Linked DNA regions of Lonchura striata. The protein of the gene in region 1 binds, or shares a complex with, the protein of each later gene. Links are inferred from orthologs where the notes say so. Each region holds a gene or a part of one and is shown in the gene's direction. Other genes may lie near its edges.

Region 1 (7,497 bases):
ATCCCCAGCCGGGGATGCCCCCCTGGCACCGCCGTGGCGGGGAAGGCAGCAGAGCCCCAACACCCCCGGGGTTCAGGGGGGCCCTGGGGCCACGGCTCCAGCCCCGCTGAGCCCCGGCAGCCCTGGCCCGGGGGGTTTGGGGTGTCTGTGGGTTCCCAGCGCCGTGCTGCCCCTCCCTGGCACAGCCCTGCCCTGGCTGGGGTCCGTGGCCACCAGGTCACTGCCCCCTGGGCCTGTCAGTGCCCACCAGTCCCCTCCGGGGTCCCCGTTGGGCCCCCCCAGCCCCCAGGCCAGAGCCCTCCCCGGGCCCAAAGTGCTACTTATCTTTAAGAGCTTTTGCAATAAGTCTTTTTAGTAATTTTTTTTTTTTTTCTAAACGGCAGTTTTGGTTTTTATTCTTGTCATTTTAATTCTTATTATTTGCTTCCTGACCAAAATTAGGAACTGGGGGTCATTCCTTTGTATCCAGCAATCACCCAAAGACGACGGCTCGGCCACATCCATAAATTTTCTTATGGATTTCTCCTAATGTTTCATCATGTTTCATTTATTTATTTTCTTTCTTTATCTTTCCCATTCAAGCTTTTAAAGATGGGGCTGGGATTTGACCTTGAGGCTCACCTGTTGAAGAAAACTCTTTTTTGTTATTATGTCATCGGCATTTTATATTTCTTATATATAATATATATGACTATATATATATGTGTACATATATATATATATATCTATATGCATCATGCCACTGTAGATACCCATCCAGTAGCATTTAGGCCTTGTTCTTGTGCCATTTTTTTTTTTTTTTCTGTTACTGATCTCTGAATGCCTTCAAGTGTATAAAGTGTGGAATTCTCTCCGGTATCTGTACTATGTACACACATTTTCATAGGAAGCACAATAAGATGACAGATGCATTGTACATCAATACCTGCTACTCTTAACAACGATGATATAAAGAATGATATAAATGATATAACTCCCCCATGCCAAGCCTTTCTCTCTTGCTGAGCTGCTGGAAATGCTCCCCCGAGGAGGCAGGTGGGGACAGCCTCATCCCGGGATGCTCCTGGAGCCCAGGGAAAGGGAAGGGGAGGAAAAAGCTTCGGGCCAGACTTCAGGAGCAGGGGCAGAGCTGAGGCTGGGCTGAGCCTCCCTTTCCTGGGAGCTCCTGGTGCCTCATCGAGCTCCAGCCTCGCTGCCTTCCCAAGGAACACAGGGCTGGAGGAGGGAAATGATTCCTCTTCCTGAGCAGGGAAAGGAGAATTAACACTCACAGAGCTGTTAATCCCTGACAGCTCCGTGGTTTGGGACCCACAGGAGTCACCAGGTGGAATTTCATCCTGGGAGCACAACCCAAATATAAACACACACACCTTTTGTCCTAAAAATTTCCAGCTACAAAGAGCAGTAGTAACAACAGAGCAGATCCAACAGAGGGCATCCAGAAAAAGCCCTCAGGACTCCATGGAGATGGAATAATAGGGAGTGGGAGTGGGCAGGGAACGCTGAAATGCCAACGCACACCCTCCTCCCCCGGTCCCTTGGCTCCGACCGTGTCCCCTGGCTCCTGGAAATGGCAGAAATGCAGTTTTGCATCTCAACGAGAACAGTCTCACCCCGCTCTGGCGCTTCCCGGCCAGAGCTGGAGGAGCAAAGGGCAGGGGGTGGGATTGGAAGGAGAACGGACGGGCCAGGAGGGCGTTAATGACCCCGATAATCGCAGCCGAGCCGTGCCCGCTCCCTCCCCGCGGCATCCCCGGCTCCGGGGGCTGGATATCCCCCCGGCTCCGGGGGCTGGATATCCCCCCGGCTCCGGGGGCTGTAATCCCCCCGGCTCCGGGGGCTGGATATCCCCCCGGCTCCGGGAGCTGTAGTCCCCCCGGCTCTAGGGGCTGCAATCCCCCCGGCTCCAGGGCCTGTAGTCCCCCAGCTCCGGGGGCTGTAATCCCCCCGGCTCCGGGGGCTGGATATCCCCCCGGCTCCGGGGGCTGTAATCCCCCGGCTCCGGGGGCTGTAATACCCCCGGCTCCGCGGGCTGTAGTCCCCCGGCTCCGGGGGCTGTAATCCTCCGGCTCTGGGGGCTGCAATCCCCCCAGCTCCGCGGGCTGTAATCCCCCCGGCTCCGGGGGCTGTAGTCCCCCGGCTCCGCGGGCTGTAGTCCCCCGGCTCCGCGGGCTGTAATCCCCCCGGCTCCGCGGGCTGTAGTCCCCCGGCTCCGCGGGCTGTAATCCCCCCGGCTCCGGGGGCTGTAATCCCCCCGGCTCTGGGGGCTGTAATCCCCCCGGCTCCGGGGGCTGTAATCCCCCAGCTCCGGGGGCTGTAGTCCCCCGGCTCCGGGGGCTGTAGTCCCCCGGCTCCGGGGGCTGTAATACCCCCGGCTCCGGGGGCTGTAATCCTCCGGCTCCGGGGGCTGTAATCCGCCCGGCTCCGGGGGCTGTAGTCCCCCCGGCTCCGGGGGCTGTAATACCCCCGGCTCCGGGGGCTGTAATACCCCGGCTCCGGGGGCTGTAGTCCCCCGGCTCCGCGGGCTGTAGTCCCCCCGGCTCTGGGGGCTGTAATACCCCGGCTCCGGGGGCTGGATATCCCCCCGGCTCCGGGGGCTGTAATCCCTCGGCTGCGCCGGGAGCAGGTCACCCCGTCCATCTGTCACAGAGCGGCTCTCCGGGAGCTGTCTGAGCCCCAGGGGCAGCACAGCCCTGCAATTCCCGTGGGATGCAGCAGGTACCACCGGGATGGGACGTGCAGAAGCTGCTCTTTGCAGGCACAAGACTCCATCGTGTCCATTGGAGCATCGGGGGACAGCAGGAGTGGGCTGGGGACATCAGCCCCGTGGGGATGCGGGGCTTCAGGCTGTTTGGGATCTGGAGACCCTCAGTCTGTTCAGGATCTGAAGTTGTTTGAGATACAGGCAGCCTCACCCTGACCAGGATTTAGGGAGCCTCTGGAGATCTAGGGAGTTCTGGGGACCTTCAGCCCGTTCAGGATCCACGGAGACTCAGCCCATGGAGACACCCAGCCCACTCAGGCTCTGTGGAGATCCCGAGATTGCACCACCTCCTGTCGCAGGTCAGAATTCCCCGTCTCCCCTCGCTGGCTGCTGGTGACAGCAGGCACCGAGGGACAATGCCACAGCCCCGGCTGCTGCCAAAGTTTCCATGGAGCCACCAGCAGGTGCAGGGGAGGCATTTCCAAAGCTGTTCCACCAAACCCCTCCGGACAGGAGAAAGGAGGAAGGGCACAATGAGGTCACCCCAGAGCCTGTCCAGAATGAACAATCCCAATTCTCCCAGTCTTTCCTCACAGCAGAGCTGCTCCATCCCTCGGATCATCCTGGTGCCTCCTCCTGACTCGCTCCAGCAGCTCCACATCCTCCCTGGGCTGGGACCTCCAGGCTGGAGGCAGCACTCATCAGATGATCATCATTAATTGTTTAATTAATACTCGTGGTGTGATTGCACACTTGGCTTTTTCCACGGATTAATGCTGACTGGATTTGTGTCCCTTTTCTCTCTGGGCACAAGAAACCGCTTCAGGGAAAAGGAACTTAATGTTAATACTTGCAGAAAGTGGCCTTTAACTCCAACCCCAGGGGAGACAGGAATCTTTTTCCTGGTGCTCTGCCTGAACCTGCACAAACTGGACCCATTTGTGGCCATTTGTTTTCCCCATAAACTTCATCCCTAAGAATCCCTGAGGTTGGAAAAGATCACCAAGTCCAAACTGTGACTGATCCCAACTGAGTTCCACGTCCAGCTTTTCCCTGGACATCTCCAGGGATGGTGACTCCCCCATCTCTCAGGACAGCCCCTCACCACCCTTTCCATGGAGAAATTCCTCCTGAATGTAACAGGGGGGAGCTCAGGTGAGGGGTGTCACTGCCACACCTGCACATCGGGGCCCTCCATGCCTGGGAAAGGCACATCCACCTCCCTCCGAGCACATCCCGGAGCAAGGGAGGCTCCAGCACCAGGGAACAGGGGCTGTAATCACAGCTGGGGAGTGGAGGCTGACACCCCCGAGCCTTCCCAGTGTTTGGGATCATCCTGCACCCCCCAGTCCCACCCCTCACTGTCCCCATTCCCTTCCCTCACCCCCAGTCCCACCCCTCACTGTCCCCATTCCCTTTCCTCACCCCCAGTCCCACCCCTCACTGTCCCCATTCCCTTTCCTCACCCCCAGTCCCACCCCTCACTGTCCCCATTCCCTTCCCTCACCCCCAGTCCCACCCCTCACTGTCCCCATTCCCTTTCCTCACCCCCAGTCCCACCCCTCACTGTCCCCATTCCCTTTCCTCACCCCCAGTCCCACCCCTCACTGTCCCCATTCCCTTCCCGCACCCCCAGTCCCTCACGGCCCCGAATCGCCCCCCCAATCGCCGCCGCTCGGTCCTCCCCCGGCAGGGGGCGCTGCGGGCGGCGGCCGCGGGCGGCTCCTCCCCGGCGCTCCGCGCGCCGCGCGCGGCCGCTTCCGGTTCCGCTCCCTTTGTGCGAGACAAGATGGCGGCGCGGGCCGGGTTCCAGTCGGGGCCTGCGAGCGGCGGCGGCGCTGGGGCCGCGCCCGGGGCCGCGCTGGGCCCCGGAGCGCCGGGCGGGGCGGTGCGCATGGGCCCGGCGCCGGGGCAGGGCCTGTACCGCTCGCCGTTGCCCGGAGCCGCCTACCCGGTGAGGCGGGGCGGCGCGGGGCGGGGCGCGGCGCCGGGCGCGGCGGGCGCTGACCGAGTCTGTTCTCTCCGCAGCGCCCCGGGATGCTGCCGGGCGGCCGCCTGGCGCCGCAGGGCCCGGCCATGGGGCCTCCCGGGTACGGAGGGAGCCCAGCGGTGCGGCCCGCGCTGGCGCAGGCCGGGCTGGACCAGGCTCGCAAGCGGCCTGCGCCGCAGCAGCTTCAGCAGGTGCAGCCGCAGGCGGTGCCCAACCGCAACCACAAGTAAGGCACGGGAGAGGGCGCATCCCGGGGCTATCGGGGACATCTCCGGCTCCTGGGGACATCCCGGACAATGGGAGTATCTCGGGGCAGCAGCAGCAACATCCCCTGGGCTGTCGTGGGGATCGGGAGGAATTTCTTCATGGAAATGGCCAGGCTTTGGAGGGGGCTGCCCAGGAAGGTGGTGGAGTTCCCATCCCTGGAGGTTTCCAAAGAATGATGGACGTGGCACTGAGTGCTCTGGGTTGGTGACAAGGTGGGGATCGGGTACAGCTTGGAGTCAAGGGTCTGGAATGGGTCTTTTCCAATCTCAAGGATTTTGGAGTTCTTGGTCCTCCTGCAGTGCTGAAGGGTCCTGTCAGGTCCTTGTGCATTCCCCTGGGACTGGAGGACAACGCTGGGCAGGGCAGGGCTGAGTTTATGTCACATGCCTGCATCCTGATGTGATGGCCCAGTGAGAATGAAATTTGTCCTGGATTTAAAATGCTGTCCCTGGAAAAGGCAATCCAAAGTTGATTGAGGCTGGAGGTCACTTGGTGTGGATGTTGTGTCAAGTCCTCCTTCCCAAGGGGTGAACCTTCTTTCCAACAGAGGCAGCCTGTTTTTAATAGATGTAATTCCTGTTCCTGTGCTCAGAAGGGTGGGGAACATTGAGATAACCAGTTAGCCCCACTGGAGCAGGGCCCAGCTAACTGGGGAGCCCCTGGCCACTCGGTGCTGCAGGTCTTTGAGCTCCTGTGCCCAGAGCCATTCCCATTTTCACGCCTCTTTTGTCTCTTGCCCCTGTCAGTGCCAAGAAGAAGAAGATGGCAGATAAAATCCTCCCACAGCGGGTGAGTGGGGTACGGGGAGGGGCTCGGGGGGAGGTGAGGCAGCCTGGGGAGCTGGTGGGCATTTCCATCCTTGCTTGGCCACAGATCCGTGAGCTCGTGCCCGAATCCCAGGCCTACATGGACCTGCTGGCCTTCGAGAGGAAGCTGGACCAGACCATCATGAGGAAGCGCCTGGACATCCAGGAGGCTCTGAAACGTCCCATCAAGGTAAGGGGAGTCTGGGTTGTCTCCAGGCTTTGGAAGCTCCTGAGTTCAGGCAGCAGGAGGGCACTGAAGGGTTGTGTCCTCTGAGTGTGGCATATCAGAGGTCCCAGTGCTCTGGACACAGCCAGGGACTGGTGTCGCTATTGGACGCGAGTACACAGAAGCTTGGTAAGTTTAAAAGAGAAAAAGAGCTAATTTTATTTCTGACCTCATAATAAATAGAATTCTAAAAGTGACAGTGGATTGGAGGATGAAATTGCCACCTCTCCAACCACACTGGTCAAACCAGCAGTCCATCAATTCTCTCTTCCCACAAAGGAGAATGCAAAACAATCATTATTTACATGGACAACGTGTGAGAACTCCAGTAGAAATCTGTAAACATTATCAGAAGGTTAAAGAAGTTCTATGAGAACTTTAAAACTTTCAAAATATCTATAAAAGAAAACACTTTTAAAAATCAGGGTGACAGAGTGGGACCAGAGTGGGTCCTCGCTGTGTGCTCCAGGAGAGGGAGAATGCGAGGCAGCTGAAAACACTGAGCTCGGTTGTAGCAAAGCCTGTGCAGGACAGCTGGCCCTGTGCAGGAGGATTGACGCTGAGCTGATGCTTTTTCTCCTAGCAAAAGCGAAAGCTGCGTATTTTTATCTCCAACACCTTCAACCCCGCCAAGTCGGACGCGGAGGACGGCGAAGGAACCGTCGCCTCCTGGGAGCTTCGGGTGGAAGGACGGCTGTTGGAGGATGTAAGTGGGAAGTGCCCATCCTCAGAGGACACTGTGGATGTGGAGTTGGCAATGAAACCAGTTTCCCAGTGTCTGAGAGCACAGCTGGGGCTTGATATCCTCCTTCATCTCTGTTTCCCAAGGAGTCTGATGGTGACGAGACCGAGAGCCCAGCTTGGAGACCGATGGGTGTCCCCATGGCAGGACATGAATTGTCCAAAGTTCTTAGAGTTGTGAGAATCACTGGTGAGAGCAGCTCAGTGGCACTTGTGTCCCCGGCTCTGAGAACCAGGGCACTGGCATTGTACGTAACTGCTGAGGGGTTTAACTCCTGCGAGCTCATCTTTAACTCCAGTCTTTCCCTTTCTGACTTGGAAACTTGATTTTTGAGCACACGTTGGTGAATTCAGGTGTTCAGAACTTAGAGGAGCTGTTGTGCACGGTGGCTGTGCTTGAGTGCTGAGACTTGCTGCCCTAACCCTCTTCCTCCCTGTGTTGCTTGCAGTCTGCTCTGTCCAAATATGATGCCACCAAGCAGAAAAGGAAATTTTCGTCCTTCTTTAAATCTCTGGTCATTGAACTTGATAAAGACCTGTATGGCCCTGACAATCACCTAGTAGAGGTGAGCTGCTTTTTGCTGTGTTTCCTCTAAAAAGTGGGTTGGTGTTTCAGCAGGTGGGGTTTGTGTGTTATTTATAACTTGGGAGGTGGGAATCCTTGAGGCTTCTAGGAGCCAGGAGCTCTTGAATTCTCACTTTGGCTTTTCCTCTCACTTCCTGAAGGTCAGAACAAATGTACTGATTCTTGTTTCAAACTCTA
Region 2 (7,780 bases), on another chromosome or scaffold:
TTATTGTTTCAGGACAGAAAAAGTGGATGAAGTTATTAAGGAATGGGAAGGTTCTTTCTTTAAGGACAACCCTCGCTTAAGGAAAAAGTCTGTTTCCTTGCGTTTCGATCTCCACCTGGCAGCCACAGAGGAAGGGTGTTTGCACACAAAAAAGAAAACCCTCCCCGACATTGAAGTCAGGCTGGTGATGAGGAGATCCTGCAGCATCCCATCCATCAAACCTTAACCTCAGCCAATTCCCTCAAAGTGCATCCACAATGGGCTCCGGAAATAAACTGCAGATGGACTCCCACGGCTGCTGTCTGCTACAACCACACATCTTACCAAGCATTTGGATCGATACAATAAAACCATTTAAGTCCTTCAAAAGAAAGGGTGAACAGCAAGGGGGTTCTGATTCCAAGAAACCCAAACTTCTACTGCTTTTATACTCTGGGTGCAGCCCTTTCATATTCTCATTGTTGTTGTTTTGTAGATTTTCACCAAGTGTTACAAAAATTAAACTAGAACTTTATAGTTTGACATATTCTGCCTTTGTAAAAGAGAACTTGTTTTCTCTTTCCAAAAATGAGAAATGCCTATTTGCTTCTCTTAATTATTCAATATTCCATTCATATAATGACTGGTGAATACTTGCAATAATTTATATCACAGCTGTCATACTTCTAGAAATATATTTTAAAATAATACTTTCTAACAGCAAAAATTACATATGAAAATACTCTTAAAATACATGAACTATTAACAAAGAGTTTTCTTTTAAAAGTGGCTAGTATTTTTAAATTCCTTTTTTTCAGGCAACAACTGAGCAAAAATATCTTACCTCTACATCCCTATACATCCATTTTAAAAGTGTTGTTACAATCCAGTAACATTTTAGCCATATTGCTCAACTGATTTTGAAGCAGTAATTTCCCCTGAAAAATCAATCATTTTCTTATGTGTCCACACACATCTGTACTACAAGTCTCTTAGCCAAGGCAAATGAAATTATTCTCTTATTGTTCAAATGGGAGGAATGAAACGATCATTTGAATACTGCTATTCCATTTTTTTTTATTATAACAATGTGCATTAAAATATCTTCAACAAATTTCTCTTCTGACAAACACTACCGATAAGTGATACTGTTGATTTTGTCCATGTGACAAGTCACTGTTACACCAGGGTACAACTGTTACTACTTCAAATTGACTGGGCAAAATAAGGGCTACAAATTCAAAGTACAATTCAACCAGACCCCTTAAGTACTCCCCACTCCTACCCAAAGTGGCTGTGGGCAAACACAAACCCCAACAGAAACCCTGCACCGGTACACAGAGGAACAGCCATCCTTCTTTAAAACCTTACAGGACAAATTTCAAACAAAGACTCAAACAAGATTGTATGAAGACAACAATGATTATTTGTGAGGATTCTGAAGAGGATGGATGTCACTGCTCCCACTGGAGCACCGGGATTGCTGGGGCTCAGAGTCTGGAGAATCCACACAGAGGATTTGCTGGATTACAACAGCACGTAAAGGATTGATTTCAGTGTCAGTATCTGCCTTATTACTTATGGCATGTGCACAAAAGTGATACTGCAGATCCTTTCAGAGTTAATCTATGCTTCTATCCTTTGTTCATGGTAAGAACAATGCATCAATATTGCCCCATCCTGTCTGTACTGTATCAAACTCGCTAATTATCCTTAACCTGAATCATGAGCTGATGTTATTACCACTTGAGTACTTGGCATCCTGAATGTATCAGCCTGCTCCAGTATTTTCACTATGCAGCTTTTTTTTTTGTGCTTAGACTCTGTACATTTTACAATACTTGAATTTAAACTAAGTTTTAATTGCTTTAAGGCACTTTAAACAGGGATACAAATTTACCAAAGTAAATGATAGTACTACAATAAAAAAAAAAGTATTAAAATGGAGTTTCTCTATGCCTATTTTGTGTGTGTCAATGTCTTCTCCTTAAGTGGAAAGTAAAAGAAAAATGCAAAATAAAAGTTGCAGATAGGAAAATCTGTAGCACTGTAACAAGTGTTTTCTCTGATCCTCTCCACAATTAGAAAGACACAAATTCCCTCAGAATCTTTACCATAACATGTGAGTGTCCTTCTGCTACAAAACTTACTCTTTTTTCCTGGCAAATCCAGTCACCCTGGCTATTTTCCTCATGTGTGACTTCCTAACACTGACTTCAGTAGCTTCTCCTACTTTAGGCCTGGTTCAAGTGGGCATTTTGGTTTTAACTAAGTTTTCACATCTTTCAGTAATTATCTATTTTTGCATTATTCACAAATTCCATCTCTCCAAATGTAAAGAACTCTCTTTTGTTCACAAAGTAGTTGGCTTCCACAAGTATCAGCGTGAACTCCACATAGGCATCAAAATAATAACATCTCACCCTCATTTTTAGGTCACTTTAAAGTGGAATTTAAAAAAAAAAAATTAACACTGAAGCTTAATACTGTGGCAGAGAAGTCTTAATTTCTGTGGTTCTAATTAAATCCAGACCAGCTGAGCCTCTGCCAACTAGCACCTGCAAACGGCTGATGTAAAAACGAGTTTTATTGTCTCAATCTACTTCCCAGTGAATGTCTGTCCTCATTCCAAAGCTTGTGAAATTGCTGGTAATTAAAACTGTTGGGTAAGAATTAGTTTTTACATTCCCCGCTGGTGAGCATAGTGCAGTGTAAACAATTCCATTAAATCAGTAAAACTACTTATATATTGTACAGGATATTAAAAAGTGTACGCTGGTAAAACCTTTCACTATCACATGATGGAACTGAGGCAAAGAGCATAGGAAGAAAAAAGGGGGAATAAAACAAAGTAGGAAATACACTGATGGCTTTGAAAATATAATGATTTAGAACTATTAGTATGGAATGTCAGTTTCCACAAATGTACTTGAACACCACAATAAACAATTCCGTTTTAAAAATAAACACATTTTAAATAATTCAAATTTTAAAATTTTGCTTTAAAATTAAAGCAAAAGTTAAAATAATTAATAGAAATTGCAAATTTTCAATTTTTAATTTAACATTAAATGCAATTTACACTATCAACAAAACTATGTTATTAGTAAACTAGAAGTGAATGTATGAAACTAGGGTGAACCTAGTCAAAAGCAGGAGGAAAACCAGGTTATCTTTCACCTCTTACATGTATTTTCTCACCTTTTCTTTACCTTTTCCTGCCCCAGTTAAGATGGTGAATTAATGTGTTGTATTTCGTTGGCTGAGGAACCTTTTCAACTCTTGCTTTAATATCAAATTGAAGTCACAGATTATTCTGCTATATGGCAACAAATGTCCATTGTGGGTACAGTCAGCAGAATCTAAGCAGATGAGGGCAGAGCTCTTGTCTCTTTATTTGTTCATAAAAATAAGTGTATTTAAGCATAAAAACAAATTGAGCCAGTGGAACTGGCAGGCATCAAGAAAAATGGCCCCAACTTGCAGCAAGTCATGTTCAGTTAGTTTTTCTTCTTTTCACCTTCTATCATCCTTTTGGGTTAGGCAGGTACCATCTCCTTTGGCTTTCCTTCGGATCCACCCAAATTCTCCCTCATGAATGTCTAGAAATACATCTTATTGGCCACGTGAGACCATTTCAATGCCAAACATTCCATTTCAACCTCAAACATTCAACATCAAACTTTCAATTTCAAGTTTCACTGCCAAAGTTTTCATATTTAATTCAGTCACTTTTGACTATTTTCAGTGTAAAAGACTCTTAAAGCTGAATGCTGAGGTCTGGAACTCTTCATCCTCCTCACACCCTCAGAGCCATATGCTTCACCTTGTTTGGTATTTGTGGGGGTTTTACCTATGTGTGATAACTTCGCTGATTTCTGCAAGGAATTGTGGACAATTCCACTGCTCCCAGACTACTGGGTACTTTATAATCCTGTCTGATTCAGCAGCAGAGTGTTTTGAGTTGGTCAGGCTGATTTAGTTGACAATTATCACATATTATCATATTTATTACCCGGGGCCATCTCGCTGCCTTCACAGCCGTCTCTAACGTCCCTTCCACTGACATTCTCCCACACCGGCACCTTCCCGCTGCCCTCAGGGCTCATCCTGCTCCACTCAGCCGCCTCTGGAAGCATCCCAAACAGCCCTTTCGGCACCACACTCTGCACAGACCACGGACGGTTCACCTGACTCCATCGCTGCTTTTATTGGATATTATTCGGGCTCGGACATGACCCCGCAGCGTTTTCCGTGGACTCAGGGCAGCCCAGGGTCCAGGACATTTCAGGTACCTGTCCGTGAGGGGGAATCTCCTCGGGGGCCGCGCGCAGCCCGTGAGGGGAAAAGGCGCCAAAATCGCCTCAGGGGCCGCGCGCAGCCCGTGAGGGGAAAAGGCGCCAAAATCGCCTCAGGGGCCGCGCGCAGCCCGTGAGGGGGAAAAGGCTCTAAAGCGCAGCGGGCACGAAGCGTCCGCAGGCCGTCCCTGCGCGCCCGTTCTGCGCTGCAGATTCGCCACCGGCAGCCAGCACTCGGGGCACCGTGACCGGGGTTGCCGGCGCGGGGGAAGGGGACGAGCACTGCGTCTCTAGGGCGCCTCGGGAGCCCTTGTGACACCCCGCGAGGCAGCGCCTCCGTGCCGCTAATGGCGGGCGGTGCCGCCCCGCGCGCGGCGCTCGGGTTGCATCCCGCAGATTCGCCGCGGCCCCTGGAATCGCCGCTATCCCGGAGGGTGCGGGGACGGCCCTGGTTCCTCGGTGGGGCGCGGGGCAGCCGAAGAGGGCCCCCCATAGTGAGTAGGGGATCACCGGCGGGCCGGGGCCCGCGTGTCGAAAGTGCGGAGCGGAGTGCGCAGGCGCCGTCGCCGCCGCCCCGGCCCGTGGGAACAAAGGGAGCGCGGCCGCGCCGAGCGGGTGAGTCCGAGGGGCCCGGCGGGGCCGGCCGGGGGGCTCGGGACGGCCCCGGCCCCTCTCCGGCAGCGCTGCGGGGCTCGGGAAGACCATTGAGCCCGGGGAGGGAGTGGTGGGACCGAGGGACCCCGCCGGTGGCCGCCTTGGGCCCGCAGAGGCTCTGCTGGATCTCCCAAGCCAGCCCTACGTGCGAGCCCGGTGCACGTCGTTAGTAGGGATTCTGGAGGAGGTTGCAGCTGCCCGTGGCGTGATTTGGAGAGAAACGGCGAAAAGGCACTTCGTTACAGCGCTGTTTGACGGGCTCCCGGGTTCGGTGCTAAAAGGTTAAGAATTGCCTGTCAGACCGCAGCTGCGGGGCTCGGTGGTTGTTGTATGTACTCTGTAAAGGAAATACATAATTTGGTCATTTACATATCGATATCAGATTTCTGAATCAGTGAGTGTAAAATAATGGGATATGTTCTTTTTATTCCTTACAGCAAAAAATATATTCATTTAGACCCTTTAATATGAAGGTGACCTAAAGCTGTGTGCTCTTACACAGCTTTTTAGATTCCTTGGAAAATCCATTAATTTTTCAAAGAGATAACAACTTGGTTTCTGAGAATGCTTTTGTCTGTATTCCAAAATTGACGAACTTTTATAATCACTGGTATCAATAACAATCGAAGCTTCAAATAACTGGTGGGGGGAAAGGCACAACACTTATTAGCATGTTGTTCTTTTGTCTTGCAGAAGTACAAATATAATGTCAGGTGGCTGAAAATTTGACTATCAAAATGTCAAGTAAGTTTTTTTTTTTTAAGATTTTTCTTTCTTTAGCTTTGATGTTTTACAGATCTGTTTCCGTGGAACCTGTTTGTGAGATGGTGCCATTATTCCTGGCATTAAAAGAAATTAGCAAGTGTAGTAACTAAACTCTTGGCCTTAAATCCTTCTGTGGCCAATTCCTGGCATATTGTTTTTGTAGGAAATCCAGATATCACAGCTTCTGAGTCCTATTGGACTGTATTTTTGCTTTCCCTCCATGTAATTGATGTGCATATAAATGAATTTCATATTCTTCAGTCTTGTGCTTGAACAAAAGTCTGGGACTAGAGTAATAGGAGCATTTCAATTTTTCTTTCTTTTTCTAGTGTTGCTTTTTGCTGTTCAGTGGCAAAAGGCAAAGTCTTTCAGAGTAAAATTTGCTTGTTTTGTAAAATCATTTGAAAATATTGGCCATAGCAGATGCCTTAAGAATTCGTTTAGATTTTCAAGGGGAAAAAAAAAATGTGCTTACATTTCTGTCTTAACAGAAAGGCCATCCTATGCCCCACCTCCCACCCCAGCTCCTGCAACCGTAAGTATAGTGATTTTTCTCATTAACACAAGGCCTTTAGTAACTTCCCAGAACAATAATTAGGGAGTTGCATCACCTTCCAATATGGGAAACACGATATTAATGTGCTATGAATTGTTTAAATTAATATAATTATTTTTGAGAAGTTTGGGAAAGAGAAGCCGAATAAACTTGTTTTGCCTCTAAGGCTGGATCTTACAGACTGAATTTTCTGTGAGCATTACTTCTCTCAAGTGACTCACAGTGGGTTGCAGCAGTACTGGAATAGTTAAGAATCAACTGGTACATTTGATTGTAAAATGTCCTACTCAGCCTGTGCCCAGATCATGGGCAGACAGTGCATTTTTCCACAGTTCAGTTGTACTGAGCTGCTTTTTTTTTTTTTTCCAATTGAGTGGAATGCAGGATTATGAAGCATCCTGTTGTATTGGATCAGAATAATGAAACACTCCTGATGCCAGTCTTGCATTCCTTGAAATCACTGGTATTTTGGAGTCTAGGGCATGGGAAATATTTTACTTTCTAGTAAAGTGGCATGCCCTGACACTGAGGAAAACATGAACAGGAGCTTTGTATCCCGCCCAGTGACATTCCTGGATGTACAAAGGTGCTGCAGTAGCAGTGTACCATGGGCAGGAACTGTTTGAAAATAAATGCACATCTTTGGTCACATTTGTGGGTAGTTTGAGTTTTAGGAGAAATCCTTTGTACAGAAGGTTGAGGAAAGATTCTACAGTGATTTTTTTTTTTTACCAAAGTGAATTGGAAGACTGTGACCCAGTAGTGTGTCCTTGATCTCTGCAGGATGGGAGTTAGAAGGAATGTGATCCTTCAAATTTTTTGTGCCATATTTTACAGGAAGAGGTTCGAAAATTATATAGTACATAAATACAAGTTATGTTTTTATAAGTTTATATAAATAAAACTGGATTTTCATAGTTTGCTCAGAGTTTTCATTTTACACACAGCAAAATAGATCTGTGGCAGTGTTAGAAGGACCATGATGGATCCCCTCTGACCACTGGATTCCTGCATCGAGAGCTGTGCATACACATGTGATTCCTTTGGGATATAGCATGAATACAGATGTTTAATGGTTCATGTTGATGTGGTACAGTTCTTCAGAAGGATACATGAAGCACATGCCAGGACTGCAACCAGTGACCTGCATTGCCTGTTTTACAAGCATCTTTTATTTTGTATTATATTTTATACAGTCCTTCATGTGTTGGTCTCTGCTCTGTCACAAAGTAGCCAAATAACCTTGCTTGTTCTTCCACAGCCAGTTCCAGGTGCTGCAGTCAACAAAATCTCAGTAATTCTCAAAACTGCAGTACTGTACCTGAAATAAAATTTCTCCGTGCAGTTCTCCCTGATGTAAGGTAGTTCCTGGTAACATTTAAATCCTGTCTTGCAGAAATAAAGAAATAAGCAGACGGCGATTACAATTGTCACCTGGTTTTATTGAAGAGCTGTAGTTCAACATATTCAAAGCCTGTTGTTATGGTAATACAAAAAACTGTAGTAAAACAGTGGCTTATGTCATGAG
Region 3 (7,625 bases), on another chromosome or scaffold:
CGAGCGGATGGGGTCGGGGATCCAGTACGGGGACGCGTCGCTCCGGCAGCTCCGGCAGCCCCGGGGGGCTCCGGCCCCCACCCGGCAGAGCTGCGGCTGCTGAGACCCCAAAAAATCCCCAAAATCCAGGTGAGGCACCCCGAAAATATCCCAAAAATCCAGGTGAGGCACCCCAAAAATATCCCAAAAATCCCAGCTGAGATCCCCCAAAAAATCCCCAAAATCCAGGTGAGGCACCCCAAAAATATCCCAAAAATCCAGGTGAGACCCCCCCAGAAATATCCCAAAAATCCAGGTGAGACACCCCAAAAATATCCCAAAAATCCAGGTGAGACACCCCGAAAATATCCCAAAAATCCAGGTGAGATCCCCCAAAAATATCCCAAAAATCCCACCTGAGATCCCCCAAAAAATCCCAAAAATCCAGGTGAGGCACCCCAAAAATATCCCAAAAAATCCAGGTGAGACACCCCAAAAATATCCCAAAAATCCAGGTGAGATACCCCGAAAATATCCCCAAAATTTAACCCTAAAATTCCCCAAATTTAACTCCTTAAATCCCCCAAATTCCCCCAAAATTTAACCCCAAAATCCCCCAAATTTAACCCCTTAAGTCCCACAATATACCCCAAATTTAAGTCCAAAACACCCCAAAAATCCCCCAAAATCCCCAAATTTACCACCAAAATCCCCCAAAACTTAACCCCAAAATTAACCCCACATCCCCAAAATTTCCCCCAAAATTGAATCCTAAAATATCCCAAAATCCCCCTAATTCCCCCAAAATTTTACCCCCAAATTCCCCAAAATCCTCCAAATTTAACCCCTAAAATTCCTCAGATATCCCCAAATTTAACCCCAAAATCCCCAAAATTTAACCCCAAAATTAACCCCAAATCCCCCAAATTTCCCCCCCAAACTAACCCCTAAATCCCCAAAATTTAACCCCAAAATCCCAGAAATTCCCCCAAAATTTAACCCCTAAATTAACCCCAAATCCCCCAAAATTTAACCCCAAAATTAATCCCAATTTCCCCAAATTTCCCCAAAATTTAACCCCAAAATTAATCCCAAATCCCCCAAATTTCCCCCAAAAACTAACCCCAAATTCCCCCAAAATTTAACCCCAAAATTTCCCAAAATCCCCCAAATTTAACCCCTTAAGTCCCCCAAAATCCCCCAAATTTCCCCCGAAATCCCCCAAATCTCCCCAAATTTAACTCCTTAAATCCCCCAAATTCCCCCAAAAGTTAACCTCAAAATATCCCAAAATCCCCAAAATTTAACCCCAAAATTCCCCCAAATTTAACCCCAAAATCCTCCAAAATACCCAAAATTTAACCCCAAAATCCCCCAAATCTCCCCCAAACTTTAACCCTAAAATCCCCCAAATTCCCCAAATCTCCCCCAAAATTTAACCCCAAAATCCCTCGAATTTCCCCCAAATTTAACCCCAAAATTTCCCAAAATCCCCCGAATTTCCCCTAAAATTTACCCCCCAAATTTCCCCCAAAATTTACCCCCAAATTTTCCCAAAATCCCCTGAATTTCCCCAAAATTCCCCAAAATATCCCGCATTCCCCCAAAATTTAACCCCAAAATTTCCCAAAAATCCCCTGAATTTCCCCCAAAATTTACCCCCAAATTTTCCCCAAATCCCCTGAATTTCCACCAAAATTTAACCCCAAAATCCTCCAAATTTCCCCCAAATTCAACCCCAAAATTTCCCAAAATCACCCGAATTTCCCCTAAAATTTACCCCCCAAATTTCCCAAAATCCCCAAAATTTCCCCCAAAATTAACCCCCAGATTTTCCCCAAATCCCCCGAATTTCCACCAAAATTTAACCCCAAAATCCTCCAAATTTCCCCCAAATTCAACCCCAAAATTTCCCAAAATCCCCCAAATTTCCCCCAAATTCAACCCCAAAATTTCCCAAAATCCCCCAAATTTCCCCGAAATTTAACCCCAAAATTTCCCAAAAATACCCTGAATTTCCCCCAAAATTTACCTCCAAATTTTCCCCAAATCCCCCGAATTTCCCCCAAAATTTAACCCCAAAATCCTCCAAATTTCCCCCAAAACTTAACCCCAAAATTTCCCAAAATCCCCCAAATTCCCCCCAAAATTTACCCCCCAAATTTCCCAATTTCCCCCAGATTTAACCCTTTCCTTCCCTTCCAGGACCAGGTGCCTCTGCCAGACCCGCCGCAATTTTGGGGGGGGGGTCCCCAAACCCCAAATTTTGGGTCCAAATCCGCGGCTTTTGGGCAAAAACAAAAATCCCCCAAAACCCCCTCGGGCTCTGGGGGGGGTCCCCAAATTCTTTTGGGGGGTCCCCGATTTTTCATGCGGTTTTTGGGGGGGTGCCCAAAATTTGGGGACCTCCCCCAGTTTTATAACTTTTTTTTTGCCTTTTTTTGCCTTTTTTTTACCTTTTTTCCCCTTTTTTTGCCTTTTTTTTCATTTTTTTACTTTTTTTCCCCCTTTTTTTGCCTTTTTTTTGGCATTTTTTACCTTTTTCCCCCTTTTCTTTCCCCTTTTTTTTCCTTTTTTTTCTTAATTTTTTTCCTTAATTTTTTCCTTTTTTTGCCTTTTTACCCCCTTTTTTTCCTTTTTCTTACCTTTTTTTTTGCCCTTTTTTTCCCATTTTTTGCCTTTTTTCCCCCCTTTTTCCCCCCTTTTTTTTCCCTTTTTTTAACCTTTTTTTGCCTTTTTTTTGCCTTTTTTTTGTCCCTTTTTTTTCCTTAATTTTTTTTCCTTTATTCCCTTTTTTTTTTTTTCCATTTTTTAACCTTTTTTTGCCTTTTTTTGTCCCTTTTTTTCCCTTAATTTTTTTCCGGTTTTTTGCCTTTTTTTGCCTTTTTTTTGCTTTTCTTTCCTTTATTTTTTTCCTTTTTTTACTTTTCTCGCCTTTTTCTTCCCCCCCTTTTTTTTACCTTTTTTTTCCCTTTTTTGTCTTTTTTCCCTTTTTTTCCTTTTTCTTCCCCCTTTTTCCCCCCTTTTTTTTTCCCGATTTTTTGCAGGGTTTTTTTCCTTTTTTCCCCCTTTTTTTTGCCTTTTTTCCCCCTTTTCCCCCCTTTTTTTCCGCCCATTTTTTGTGGTGTTTTTTCCTTTTTTTTCAGTTTTTTCCCTTTTTTTCCCTTTTTTCCCCCTTTTTATCCCCCTTTTTTTGCCTTTTTTTACCATTTCTTTCCCTTCCCCCCCCTTTTTTTTCCATTATTTTTTCTTTTTTTTCCTTTTTTTCCCCTTTATTTTTCCCCTTTTTTGGCCTTTTTTTTCCTTTTTCCCCCTTTTTTGCTTTTTTTTTTTTTTGGGGATTCCCCCAAATTTTTTTTGGGGGGTGTGGTGGTCGCCCCTCCCCCAATTTTTTCTCCATCCCCCCAAATTGGGGGGGTCTTTTTTCCCATTTTTTCCCATTTTTTCCTCATTTTCCACTTTTTATTTATTTGCACTAAATTTGGGGAGGGGGGGAGGGAATTTTGGGGAGGGGGGAAAAATTGGGGAACCCCCCCCCCAAAAAAATCCCAAAAACTCCCCAAAACTCCCGGGAATTTTGGGGATTTCCCCCAGAACCGAAGTGTGAAAAATGTGAAATAAAAAATTTACGTTTTCAGCTTTTTGGGGCATTTTTGGGGTGATTTGGGGGGATTTTGAGGGGATTTTGGGGGGATTTTGGGGAGATTTTGGGGGGATTTTGGGGGGGTTTGGGGGGATTTTGGGGTAATTTGGGAGATTTTGGGGGATTTGGGGGGATTTTTGGGGATTTTTTGGGGAAATTTGGGGGGATTTTGGGGGGATTTGGGGTTTTTCGGGAGTCTCTGAGAGGATTTGGGGAGATTTTTGGGGGAAATTTGGAGAATTTGGGGGATTTTGGCGGATTTGGGGGATTTTGAGTGGATTTTGGGGATATTTCCAGGGGATTTTGGGGGATTTTGGGGAGGATTTGGGGGATTTTGGGATTTTTGGGGAGGATTTGGGGTGGATTCCGCGGGCTTTGGGAGGATTTGGGGTGGATTTTGGTGCGATTTTGAGGGATTTTGGGATTTCTGGGGAGGACTTGGGGGATTTTGATGGATTTTTGGGGAGGATTTTGGGGATTTTGGGGGGATTTTGGTGAGAATTTGGGGAATTTGGGGTGGATTTTGGGGAGGATTTGAGGGATTTTGATGGATTTTGGGGGGATTTGGATGGATTTTGGGGAGGATTTGGGGGATTTGGATGGATTTTGGGGGGATTTGGATGGATTTTGGGGGGATTTGGATGGATTTTGGGGAGGATTTGGAGGATTTTGATGGAATTTTGGGCGATTTTGGGGCTCCCTGCCCCCCCTCCCCCCCTTAGCACTGACAGGAGGGAGCCCCGCCCTTAGCCCCGCCCCTTTGCGGTGATTGACAGCTCCCCCAGCCAACCAGCGGCGCGCGGGGCACGCCGGGAGTTGTAGTCCCGCCGCCCCGCCGCCATTGCCCCCCTCCCCTCCCCCCCGCCCGGTACCGGCGGGCACCGGCAGCGCGGGGCGGGGGGGGAGGGGCGGGGCGGGCGGGGGTCCCGCGGGCTCGGCGGCGGCCCCGGGGGGGCAGCGGGGGAGGGGAGGGGGGGCCGAGCCCCGCCGCCCCCTCCCCGAGCGCGGAGCGGCCCCGGCGGCGCAAAATGGCCACGGCTCTGCACAAGCCCCTCAAATGGTGAGCGCGGCTCCGGGGCACCGGCACCGGCACCGGCACCGCCCCGGCACCGGCACCGCCGCCCGGCGCCGCCCCGGCACCGCCCCGGCACCGGGCTGGGCCCCCCCCACCCCCAGCCCGCACCGGCACGGCGGCGGCGGGGGCGGGGTGGGACCCCCGGTACCGGGGCTGGGAGGGGATGGGGGCTCGGTACCGGGAGGGGATGGGGGCTCCGGTACCGGCACCGGCAGGGGATGGAGGCTCCGGTACTGGCAACGGGAGGGGATGGAGGCTCCGGTACTGGCAACGGGAGGGGATGGGGGCTCGGTACCGGCAGGGGATGGGGGCTCGGTACCGGCAGGGGATGGGGGCTCGGTACCGGCACCGGCAGGGGATGGAGGATCCCGTACCGGTACCGGCAGGGGATGGGAGCCCTGGTACCGGGGCTGGGAGGGGATGGGGGCTCGGTACCGGCACCGGCAGGGGATGGGGGTTCGGTACCGGGAGGGGATGGGGGCTCGGTACCGGGAGGGGATGGAGGCTCGGTACCGGGAGGGGATGGAGGCTCCGGTACTGGCAACGGGAGAGGATGGGGGCTCCGGTATCGGCACCGGGAGGAGATGGAGGATCCCGTACCGGCACCGGCAGGGGATGAAGGATCCCGTACCGGCACCGGCAGGGGATGGAGACTCCCGGTACCGGCACTGGCAGGGGATGGAGACTCCCGGTACCGGCACCCGGAGGGGATGGGGGCTCCGGTAACGGTGATTGGAGGGAATGGGTGACCACCAGTACCGGCACCGGGAGGAGATGGGGGCTCCGGTACCGGCACCGGCAGGGGATGGAGGCTCCGGTACTGGCAACGGGAGGAGATGGGGGTTCGGTACCGGGAGGAGATGGGGGTTCGGTACCGGGAGGAGATGGGGCTCCGGTAACGGGACCGGGAGGGGATGGGGCTCCGGTAACGGTGATGGGAGGGGATGGAGGCTCCGCTACCGGCACCGGGAGGGGATGGGGGTTCGGCACCGGCAGGGGATGGGGGTTCGGTACCAGTACCGGAAGGAGATGGGGGTTCGGTACCGGCACCGGGAGGGGATGGGGGTTCGGCACCGGCAGGGGATGGGGGTTCGGTACCGGCAGGGGATGGGGGTTCGGTACCAGTACCGGAAGGAGATGGGGGTTCGGTACCGGCACCGGCAGGGGATGGGGGTTCGGTACCGGCACCGGCAGGGGATGGGGGTTCGGTACCGGGAGGGGATGGGGGTTTGGTACCGGTGCTGGGAGGGGATGGAAATCCCCGGTACCGGCACCGGGAGGGGATGGAGGTTTGGGGTTTGGGCCCGGTACCGGCGGGGTTGGACCCGGTTCGGGCGGGGATGGAGGTGCCGGTACCGGCGGGGTTGGACCCGGTTCGGGCGGGGGATGGAGGTGCCGGTACCGGCGGGGTTGGACCCGGTTCGGGCGGGGATGGAGGTGCCGGTACCGGCGGGGGATGGAGGCTCCAGGATGGAGCTCCCGGTAGCGGCGGGAGGGACTCGGTGGGGATGGAAACCCCCGGTACCGGCTGGGAGGAGGACCCGGTACCGGTGGGGAGGAGGACCCGGTACCGGTGGGGAGGAGGACCCGGTACCGGCTGGGATGGGGACCCGGTACCGGCTGGGATGGGGACCCGGTACCGGCTGGGATGGGGACCCGGTACCGGTGGGGAGGAGGACCCGGTACCGGCTGGGATGGGGATCCGGTACTGGGATGGGGACCCGGTACCGGCTGGGATGGGGATCTGGTACCGGCTGGGATGGGGATCCAGTACTGGGATGGGGACCCGGTACCGGCTGGGATGGGTATCTGGTACCGGGATGGGGATCTGGTACTGCCAAGATGGGGATCCGGTACCGGGATGGGGATCCGGTACCGGCGGGGTCCCAGTCCCAATTCTGGTCCTAATCCCGGTCCCGGTCCTGGTCCCAGTCCCGGCCACAGTCCCAATCCCATCCCAGTTCCGGTTCTGATCCCGGTTCTGATCCCAATCCCTATCCCAGTCCCAGTCCCGGTTCTGATCCCGGTTCTGGTCCCGGTTCTGATCCCAATCCCTATCCCAGTCCCAGTCCCAGTTCTGATCCCGGTTCTGGTCCCGGTTCTGGTCCCAATCCCTGTCCCAGTCCCAGTCCCGGTTCTGATCCCAATCCCTATCCCAGTCCCAGTCCCGGTTCTGATCCCGGTTCTGGTCCCGGTTCTGGTCCCAATCCCTGTCCCAGTCCCAGTCCCGGTTCTGATCCCGGTTCTGGTCCCGGTTCTGATCCCAATCCCTATCCCAGTCCCAGTTCGGATCCCTGTCCCAGTCCCGGTTCAGATCCCGGTTTTAATCCCGGCCCAGTCCCGGTTCTGATCCCAATCCCTGTCCTGGTCCCAGTCCCGGTTCAGATCCCGGTTCTGATCCCGGTTCTGATCCCAATCCCTATCCCAGTCCCAGTCCCGGTTCTGATCACGGTTCTGGTCCCGGTTCTGATCCCAATCCCTGTCCCAGTCCTGGTTCAGATCCCGGTTCTGATCCCGGCCCAGCCCCGGTTCTGATCCCAAGCCCTATCCCAGTCCTGGTTCAGATCCCGGTTCTGATCCCGGTTCTGATCCCGGTTCTGATCCCAAGCCCTATCCCAGTCCTGGTCCCAGTCCCGGTTCTGATCCCGGCCCAGTCCCGGTTCTGATCCCAATCCTAGTCCCGATCCTAACCCCTTCCTGGTGCAGGTTCTGATCCTGGTTCCAGTCCCAGGTCTGATTCCATCCCGGTGCCGGTTCTGATCCGGTCCCGGTGCCGGTTCTGATCCGGTCCCGGCGCCGGTTCTGATCCGGTCCCGGCGCCGGTTCTGATCCGGTCCCGGTGCCGGTTCTGATCCGGTCCCGGTGCCGGTTCTGATCCGGTCCCGGTGCCGGTGCCAATGCTGGTCCCTGTCCCAGTTGGGTCCCTCC
Region 4 (7,743 bases), on another chromosome or scaffold:
ACGTGATCTAAGTGGAACTTGCTAAACTTCAGCCCTAGCCAACAATTGCTTCAAGCTGGGTGGACAAACACCAACCTGACCACACCACCTCCTATACCTCTGGTCTAGACTTCCTTCTCTGTGCAAATTTCTCTTTTCCAAAAGTGCATGGAAAATGCTTTTGTTCCTGGGAGCTGATGAGGTGCCAAGAGCCTCTGACAACAGAATTGCAGATTACCAACATGTCCAGGTTAATACCCAAGTGTATGAATTGACTCATGCTGCTTCTGAGCCAGTGAACCCCTTTATTATTTCCTCTGACTCCTTAAAAAAAAACAACCCACAAACATATTTTTGAGCTACACAGGAGCTATCTGGGAACAACATAGTTGGAGTAGATTTCTCTTTCCTCCTTTTGGACTCCTACAACACATGTCAGTGTCTGGTAACTGGTAGGAACAGGCCCAGGAGGGCAAAGCATGTGAGTAGACCAAAGTATCTTCCATCTTTTCCCTTTGTAGGCACTGACCTCCTGCAAGTGGCTGCCCATGAGTTTGGCCACGTGCTGGGCCTGCAGCACACGGCTGTCTCCAAGTCCCTGATGTCTCCTTTCTACATCTTCCGCTACCCCCTGAGCCTGAGCGAGGACGACAAGCAAGGTATCCAGTACCTGTATGGGAAACCCTCGGCGGACCCTGACCCAACCCCAACGCAGCCAGCGGAGCTGCCCCAGCCGGACCTCGAAACAAATGAGATCACCAACGTGGAGGTGAGTGCAGGTTCCCTTCCCTGACAGCCTGGCTGGGGCTGCCCTGGCAGCAGCCTGAGTTGGTGCCTGCCTCTCCCACCAACACCGCTGCGCCCAGCCCCAGAGCCCACGGCTGGCACTGGGCTGTGCACAGGGGGTCTCCGGGCAGCCCGTGCCCAACGCAAGCCGGGCAGCAGCCTGCACACGGGGCCTTGCCCTGAGCAGCCAGGCAGGCTCGGGGGCTCTGGGTGCCAGCCTGACGCCTGCGCCTCGGCAGGCCGTGCAGCCCGACGCCTGCCACACGGCCTTCGATGCTGCAGCCGCCATCCGAGGGGAGCTGTTCTTCTTCAGCTCCTGCTACGTGTGGCGGCTCCGCGCCGGAAAGCTGCAGGATGGCTACCCGGCCCTGGCCTCTCGCCACTGGCAGGGCATCCCCAGCTCTGTCGACGCCACCTTCGAGGACCCTCTGGGAAACATCTGGTTTTTCCAAGGTAAGAGCTGGACTGTGATCAGATGGCTCAGAAATCTCAATTACTTAAGGGTAGTGAGGACTCAGCAGGTTCCTGAGACAATAAATCTCCTGGAAATCCTCAGCAGTCCAGTGATCCTTGTCATTTGTTTCCTTAGCTATTTAAACTTTTTATCAGGTATTGAAGACAGAGAACAAGAGTTCACTTTTGTTTTAAACACGTCACAGTATCCCATTCTCCTTCTCTGGAACACAAACATTTGTAATTTGCCTCTATCCTGGCAGAGGAGAACGAAATAAACATTTGCTCCATCTCTCCAGATGTCATGGGAAGCACTGTGCCAGAAGTGAACCCCAGCAGTTCGTTGGTTGTGCCTGTGGGCCCTGCTCAGGGCGGGGACAGGATTTTCTCTGCTCCTCAGTGACCTGGATGTGGAATTTCCCTAGTACCCCATGGCTTTATGAGCCGACAAGGAACCTGGGTGCAGAGCCAGGCAACCTCCAGCAACCATAAAGATTAGGAATGAAACCACCTCCTGGCCGTCTCTGGGGTTCAAGGCCAGCAACAAACCTCATTTCAGCTCCACAGTTTTTTTTAATGCTCTTCCTAAGTGGAGGTTTAATAGGAGGGATGCAGAATGATCTGGGAACTCATTGTGGGTGTGCACACCCCGTCTGCACTCCATGAGACCAAGCACCAAAATCAGGGTACCAGTGGCTCTGCAGGCAGAGCTCCTGCATGAACACATTTCTGAGCACCTGACCTGCACACAAGGACTTAACAGTGCTAAAATTGGCAGGCTCCTACAGTGAGTTAAAATGAGATAAGGGGAAAGTATTACATGCCCTAGGCTAATTACAGAGATTCCCATTTTAATCTACTCTGGAACTCTGCTTCCAGTCTCTATATCAACTTGACAAATTCTTCCTGGTTTCTGTTCCTTTCCAGCCACATGCCCCCTTTGTGCCTGTGCATGCCCACATGATTTCCAGGTGCTGAGATTGCAGGGCAGAGACTGGTGCCTCCAGCCAAGTCCTTTGTAACTTCCACAAATAGATAAAAATGCTGCTGAAATGGACCTTCCTATCCCCCACCAACACCCACCAGGCTGGACTGAGGTGGGATGCCAATGCATTGACAGAATTTTGGACACACAACAATGGCAGCATCCCATCACACTTGGTGGTGGTTTTGCCTCTCAGGCACAGCTTCCCATGGGGGCTCTGCCAAGGCACCAGTTGCACAGTCCACTGTCAAATTATCAGAGTTTTTGACCCCTTGTTTCCCTTTTCTGTCTCCTCAATAGATTCTCAATACTGGATTTATGATGGTGAGAGACGGGTATCTGGTCCCACCCCAATCGTGGAGCTGGGCCTCCCTGCATCCCCTGTGCAGGCAGCTCTGGTGTGGGGGGCTGAGAAGAACAAGGTCTACATCTTCAGTGGAGGCAACTACTGGCGCTTCAACCCCCAGAGGCGCCAGGTGGACAACATCTACCCCCGGGCCATGGCCGACTGGCGCGGCGTCCCGCCGGAGATCGACGCCGCGTTCCAGGATGAGTTTGGTCAGTGCAGGAGCGTGGCCTGCTCTGCCTGCCAGCACTGCCCAGCTGGAAGAGCTGGGCAGATTTACACATGTGGCAGTAGTGAACACTGCCCAACCACAACACATCCCATACAGGGTAGAGGGGCAGGTCCTTCCAGCGGGTAGAGAATTGAGAAGTTGTTCCATTCCCATTCATTGCAGCAATTGATATGTAAGTGTATGATAGAGAGAAGTCAAATATCTGACCAAGGAATGGTCACAGAGTCCTGCCCACCTCTTACTGCTCCTGCCAAAGGAAGTGATGAGAAGACAACAGAAATACTCCCCACACTTCTACCCGGGGAACTGAACAAAAAACAGGCTGCTTTTGGTATTGACCAGTCCTCCCCAGTGTGCCCCTTGCTGAAAATAGTAGGGCAGTGCCACAGAAACACTGGGGACAGCCAGGGTGCTTGGGATGACAGGTGTGGCGAGTGCCTCTTTCCTCTCTAAGGATGAAGTGAAACAACTCACTGCTTCCAGAACATAAATTCCAGGGCAGTTTGCCCACAGGAACAGATGCTCTGAGCAGGTCTTCACAAGTTCCCTGTCCCTGTCCTAGAAATCCCCTGCCCTCACAGGGCTGGGTCACTACAAGCATACAGCATATTTAAACCCACCAGGAAAATAAAATTAAATCCATCCTGTTTACTGTCCAAAAAGTAAAACTAGATTTTTTATCGAAACTAAAACAGTGTGAAAGAAAAGCGACTGCCACAAGCCTGGGTTCAAGTAAAATCTCCTGCCTCTTCCAGCTCTCTTTCAGTACCGTATGTGTTGCAGAGTGACAGCTGAACAAAATGCTGGCAAAGAGCTCTGAGCCACATGAATGCTGCCTCTCCTAAACCTTCCTCTCTCACCCACAGGTTTTGCCTACTTCCTGAGAGGCCGAGATTATTGGAAGTTTGATCCAGTCCAGGTGAAAGTGCTGGAGGGCTACCCACGCCAGATCAGCCAGGACTTCTTCAGCTGCACACCCTCCTCCAACTCCTTCAGATGAGGGGGATGCTCTGTCCTCCACGCTCCCCTGTCATCTCCCTTTACCTCCAGCAGCCACAGAGAGGGTTCCCTCTGCCATTCCTGGCTTCCCACCAGGCTCAGCATCTGACACAACAGGTGTCTGTCACAAGTGACAAAGTTTGCTCCTCTCCAGTTCCAGCAGCCCCAGCTTCAGCTGCTATCAATGTAAAAGCAGCTGCCATGTTCTTTACAGGCAAGGGAGGCCACTCTCTTCTAGCAATAGCATCCCAAAAGCCACCAAGGCCAGCCTGGAATAGGATCATGCTCTCATAACTAATCAGAACCCCATCCTGTAGAACTGATCCACGGCATTTCCTATGTTTACATAACTCACTAGGGCAGCCCTTTGCTGCTGCAGACGCTGGCCAAGGAGGAATGACCCCCCAGCCCGGGGCTTTGAAGGACACCGACCCTACCTGCAGAGGAGGAGGACTGCGACGTGCGGCTGTGCCAGAGCCACTCCGCCGGGGCAGCCGAGCTGGCTGCCAGGGCCTGCCGCAGCCCGAGCCCGGCTTGACGTGTATCCCTAGCATGCGTTAGGATTTTGTACCGATCTGTACATAGACAAGGGGCTCCTCCCTCGCTCCCTCGCCGGTGCTGGGTGCCAGTGCTGGACACTGCCCCGCGCTCATCCCGCCGAGGTTCCCACCCCGGGATGCTCAGATGCACTGATCGCTCTCGAGCCGCCGTCCAGGCCCGGGCTGGCAGCGCACACCGGCCGTGCCTGCCCAGCCTCAGGCCAAACACCCGGGGCTGCCAACAGCCTCTTCCCTTCCCACCGCCCGGCCCGGCCCGGCCGCGGCGCTCCGTGTGTATTTATGTTCCGCCCCGCCACAATAAAACCCGCCTCTTTTCTACATCCGTCTCGGCTCTGTGCTGCGCCCCGCGCCCGGCCGCGCCGCCGCGCCCCGCCCGCCGCATGCGCGCAGCGGGCCCGCGCTAGGCCGCGCTCCGCCCGCCGGGCCGCGCTCCGCTCTCCGGGCGCCGCCGCCCCCGCCCGCCGCCGCGATGATGATGATGGCGCTGAGCAAGACCTTCGGGCAGAAGCCCGTCAAGTTCCAGCTGGAGGAGGACGGCGAGTTCTACATGATCGGCTCCGAGGTGCGGCCCGGGCGGGAGCCGGGCCCGGGCCGGGGCTGCGGGGCCGGGCCGGGGCTGCGGGGGGCTGCGCTCAGGGCGAGCAAGGGGCGGAGGAGAGCCCTGGCGTGGGGCGAGCGGCCCCGCGGGTCCCCTCTGCCCCGGCGGGCGCTGCCGAGGGCCTCAGCCGTGCTGGGGGATGGGACGGAGCAGTGCTCCCGTAAGGGCGGCCCCTGGGGCCCGCACGGGTAGGCGGGGAGCGGATCGTGCCCGATCGCAGCCCGAGGCCCCGCTCCCGCTCACCGGGAGTAATTCCTGTACGCAGCTGTTGAGGGGTCGGGGTTGTTTCACGTGCTGCGGGGCAGCGAACCCCCCAGCTGGGCCTCTGGGCTCGGGACCAGCACCAAAACCAGCCAGTGCAGCTCCTTCTGCCTGGTGCCCAGTCTGGGCAGCAAACAGGCGGGCAGAGGCTCAGCACCCCGTGTCTGTGCTGGCAGCTCTGTTGTCCCGTGCTGAGAGGGTGTTGAGCCTCCCTGACAAAGAGCCTTATTCAGGCAAGAAACACTGGCCCTTTAGCACCAGGGAAACAGCTGAAATCAGGAAAAAACGTTACAGCCCCCAACTTGATGCAGAAAAGGGACTGTTGGATAAGTTTCACTGCCAGCTCTGTAGGTTGAGCGGGGACTGAACACCCCTCGCTCTCGTGAAATGTAGAGTTTGAAAGCAAACTGTACCTGCAGTCAGCTGAGCTGTGAGACTGCCATACCAAGTACATGGAGAAGAAAAAGGGTTGTCTTTTTTATCTACCATTAATTTCTGTCTGTGGATGAGCACTGTAGAGTGAAAAATATAGCTAAAAACGAACATCAAAAAAGAGTTTTCTCAAACAAGGAATAAAAACCTTGTTGTGTGGCAGTCTGTCAGGGTCCTGGCAGTCTAAAAATTTGATTTCAGAGTCTAGAAATAATTGTGTTGTCAGCAAGGCCTGCTGTAGCTTTCAGCATAGGTGAGGATGTTATGCCAGGAAGAACAGAACTGCTTTACAGATGGTAAGTAAATCTGAAAGAGGACTATTGGCAGCAATCACATTTTTGATGTTCAAAGGTTTTAAAACAAAATACAAGTCCCTGGGCATTTGATGTAGTCACATAATGTCTAGATGATGAGGAGGTTCAAAGTGAAAAATAATGTGTCGGAGAGCTGGGTTTCTGGTTTAGTTTAATTCCAACTGAGCATTGCACATTGATATGGAAACTGAAGTAAAGAAGGTGTCTGTTGTTCAAAAATACATGCAAATGAACGGAGTAGTTTCCTATTATCAGTAGATGGGAGTTATTTTGGATCTAGTGAAGTAAGATTGCACCAGTGAAATAAGTGCTGATAAAAATTCTGTTTTCTATGTTGCCAGAAAAATCGTGGTGCTATTTGATGCCAGACACAGCACAAAAACCCACCAAAAGCACCCTCTTAAGAGGTCCTTGTTATCATTAAAAAGACCTGAATTTCTTCCAGCCTCTGCTGTGATTCTCCTACATGGAATACCAGGCCACGTGTCCACTTCTCTTCTTGCAGGTGGGGAACTACTTGCGCATGTTTCGGGGCTCCCTGTACAAGAGGTACCCCTCGCTCTGGAGGCGCCTGGCCACGGTGGAAGAAAGGAAGAAGATTGTGGCCTCTTCACATGGTGAGAAGATGAGTAAACATTCCCAGAAATGTTTGTCGAAAATTTTGCCTTGAACAACTGTTCCTGGTGATTCAGAAGCTCGTGCACCTTGAGGGCCGCATGAATCGCTTCAGACTGCCCCAGTGATGGAGCACCCTGCAACGGTGGCACTGGTGGCTCCTGGTTCAGGCTGGCAAGAAATAGCACCTGATCAAAAACATTCTGAAATGGAAACATCCATCATGGAATTCCTGGGATTGGCTACGTTCATCACAAAGCAAAAGCCACATCTCCAAATCAATACCATATTTCAGAAGAGATTTTTTTGTAGACTAAGAGGGGTGTCTTTGTCTCTCTCATCGAATAGGCAGCAGTGTTGCAAGGATGCCCCATTGAAGATGTGCATCTTTGCTTCTTGCAGGGTCTGGATGTTTGTGCCTGCCAGAAATTTAACTGCTTGCTACTGATGTGACTGCTACAGGGAGAATATTGGCATTGTTTTTGTTGAGGGACTAATAGCAAGCAGTTAAATTTCTTAGTGATATGATTCTTGTATGTTCTGTAGACTAAAGCATAATAAAAAGAATGGTTTGCTCTGGGCTTATGTCTCTTTCCTCCAAGTATCTTGCTGACCTCTTGCTTTCTTTTTCCCCCAACAGAAAATCAGCGGTCTCACAGTCCTCGAAGATGTAAGTCTCATCTGTGTGTTATTCTTAGCTGTGCTAGAGGAAGAATGTCCACTGTGACCTTTGGTGCTATTGCAATAATATTAATGTCTAATCCTCTTCCTCTGATCTCTGTCTGTGGTCAGCCTTATTGTACCTCCCAATCCCATGGTTAACTCTTTCTCAGAACCTTAGCAGGACTCTCCACTGCAGATGGTCTCTGTCATTCAGCAAGAGCTGTCCTGAGGCCTCTCCCCCTTCCCCAAGTCTTTAACAGCTTTTCTATCGATCCTTGCATCTCTAGTTCCGACCTTTAAGTCCACTGAGCGTTGTTTTCTGGGCCTTGTAATTATCTACAAGATGAAGCCCAAAGGACACTTGTATCTCTGTGTTAGCCCCTCCTGCAGAGACAGAGAGGGTTTGTCACTATGTAGCTTGTTAATGCTACGGTATAGGTAGCCCTTTTCTGAATTAATTATTGCCATCTTTCCTGGTAATAGATCATGGCTACACAACATTAGCCACTAGTGTGACGCT

Evidence for each region.
Region 2: SMARCD1 (region 1) and SMARCE1 share a complex: the UniProt entries of both Homo sapiens proteins name them as parts of the BAF complex. The link is inferred for Lonchura striata from reciprocal best matches to the Homo sapiens genes SMARCD1 and SMARCE1.
Region 3: SMARCD1 (region 1) and zinc finger protein neuro-d4 share a complex: the UniProt entries of both Homo sapiens proteins name them as parts of the neuron-specific chromatin remodeling complex. The link is inferred for Lonchura striata from reciprocal best matches to the Homo sapiens genes SMARCD1 and DPF1.
Region 4: SMARCD1 (region 1) and SMARCB1 share a complex: the UniProt entries of both Homo sapiens proteins name them as parts of the BAF complex. The link is inferred for Lonchura striata from reciprocal best matches to the Homo sapiens genes SMARCD1 and SMARCB1.

What each region holds. Positions count from the first base shown.
Region 1 is NC_134629.1:8,796,758-8,804,254, forward strand, and holds the start of SMARCD1 (SWI/SNF-related matrix-associated actin-dependent regulator of chromatin subfamily D member 1), read left to right. Parts: upstream 1-4,493; coding exon 4,494-4,658; intron 4,659-4,732; coding exon 4,733-4,920; intron 4,921-5,707; coding exon 5,708-5,750; intron 5,751-5,834; coding exon 5,835-5,957; intron 5,958-6,576; coding exon 6,577-6,699; intron 6,700-7,183; coding exon 7,184-7,300; intron 7,301-7,497. UniProt on the Homo sapiens protein: Involved in transcriptional activation and repression of select genes by chromatin remodeling (alteration of DNA-nucleosome topology).
Region 2 is NC_134627.1:6,813,415-6,821,194, forward strand, and holds the start of SMARCE1 (SWI/SNF-related matrix-associated actin-dependent regulator of chromatin subfamily E member 1), read left to right. Parts: upstream 1-4,768; 5' UTR 4,769-4,892; intron 4,893-5,624; 5' UTR 5,625-5,668; coding exon 5,669-5,675; intron 5,676-6,187; coding exon 6,188-6,231; intron 6,232-7,780. Other genes in the region: keratin-like protein KRT222, read left to right, coding at 13-226. UniProt on the Homo sapiens protein: Involved in transcriptional activation and repression of select genes by chromatin remodeling (alteration of DNA-nucleosome topology).
Region 3 is NC_134633.1:4,835,292-4,842,916, reverse strand, and holds the start of zinc finger protein neuro-d4, read left to right. Parts: upstream 1-4,610; 5' UTR 4,611-4,650; coding exon 4,651-4,682; intron 4,683-7,625. Other genes in the region: RAB4B (ras-related protein Rab-4B), read left to right, coding at 1-103. UniProt on the Homo sapiens protein: May have an important role in developing neurons by participating in regulation of cell survival, possibly as a neurospecific transcription factor. Belongs to the neuron-specific chromatin remodeling complex (nBAF complex).
Region 4 is NC_134620.1:3,455,366-3,463,108, forward strand, and holds the start of SMARCB1 (SWI/SNF-related matrix-associated actin-dependent regulator of chromatin subfamily B member 1), read left to right. Parts: upstream 1-4,742; 5' UTR 4,743-4,809; coding exon 4,810-4,902; intron 4,903-6,450; coding exon 6,451-6,562; intron 6,563-7,200; coding exon 7,201-7,230; intron 7,231-7,706; coding exon 7,707-7,743. Other genes in the region: MMP11 (stromelysin-3), read left to right, coding at 501-748, 1,005-1,218, 2,504-2,761, 3,648-3,781.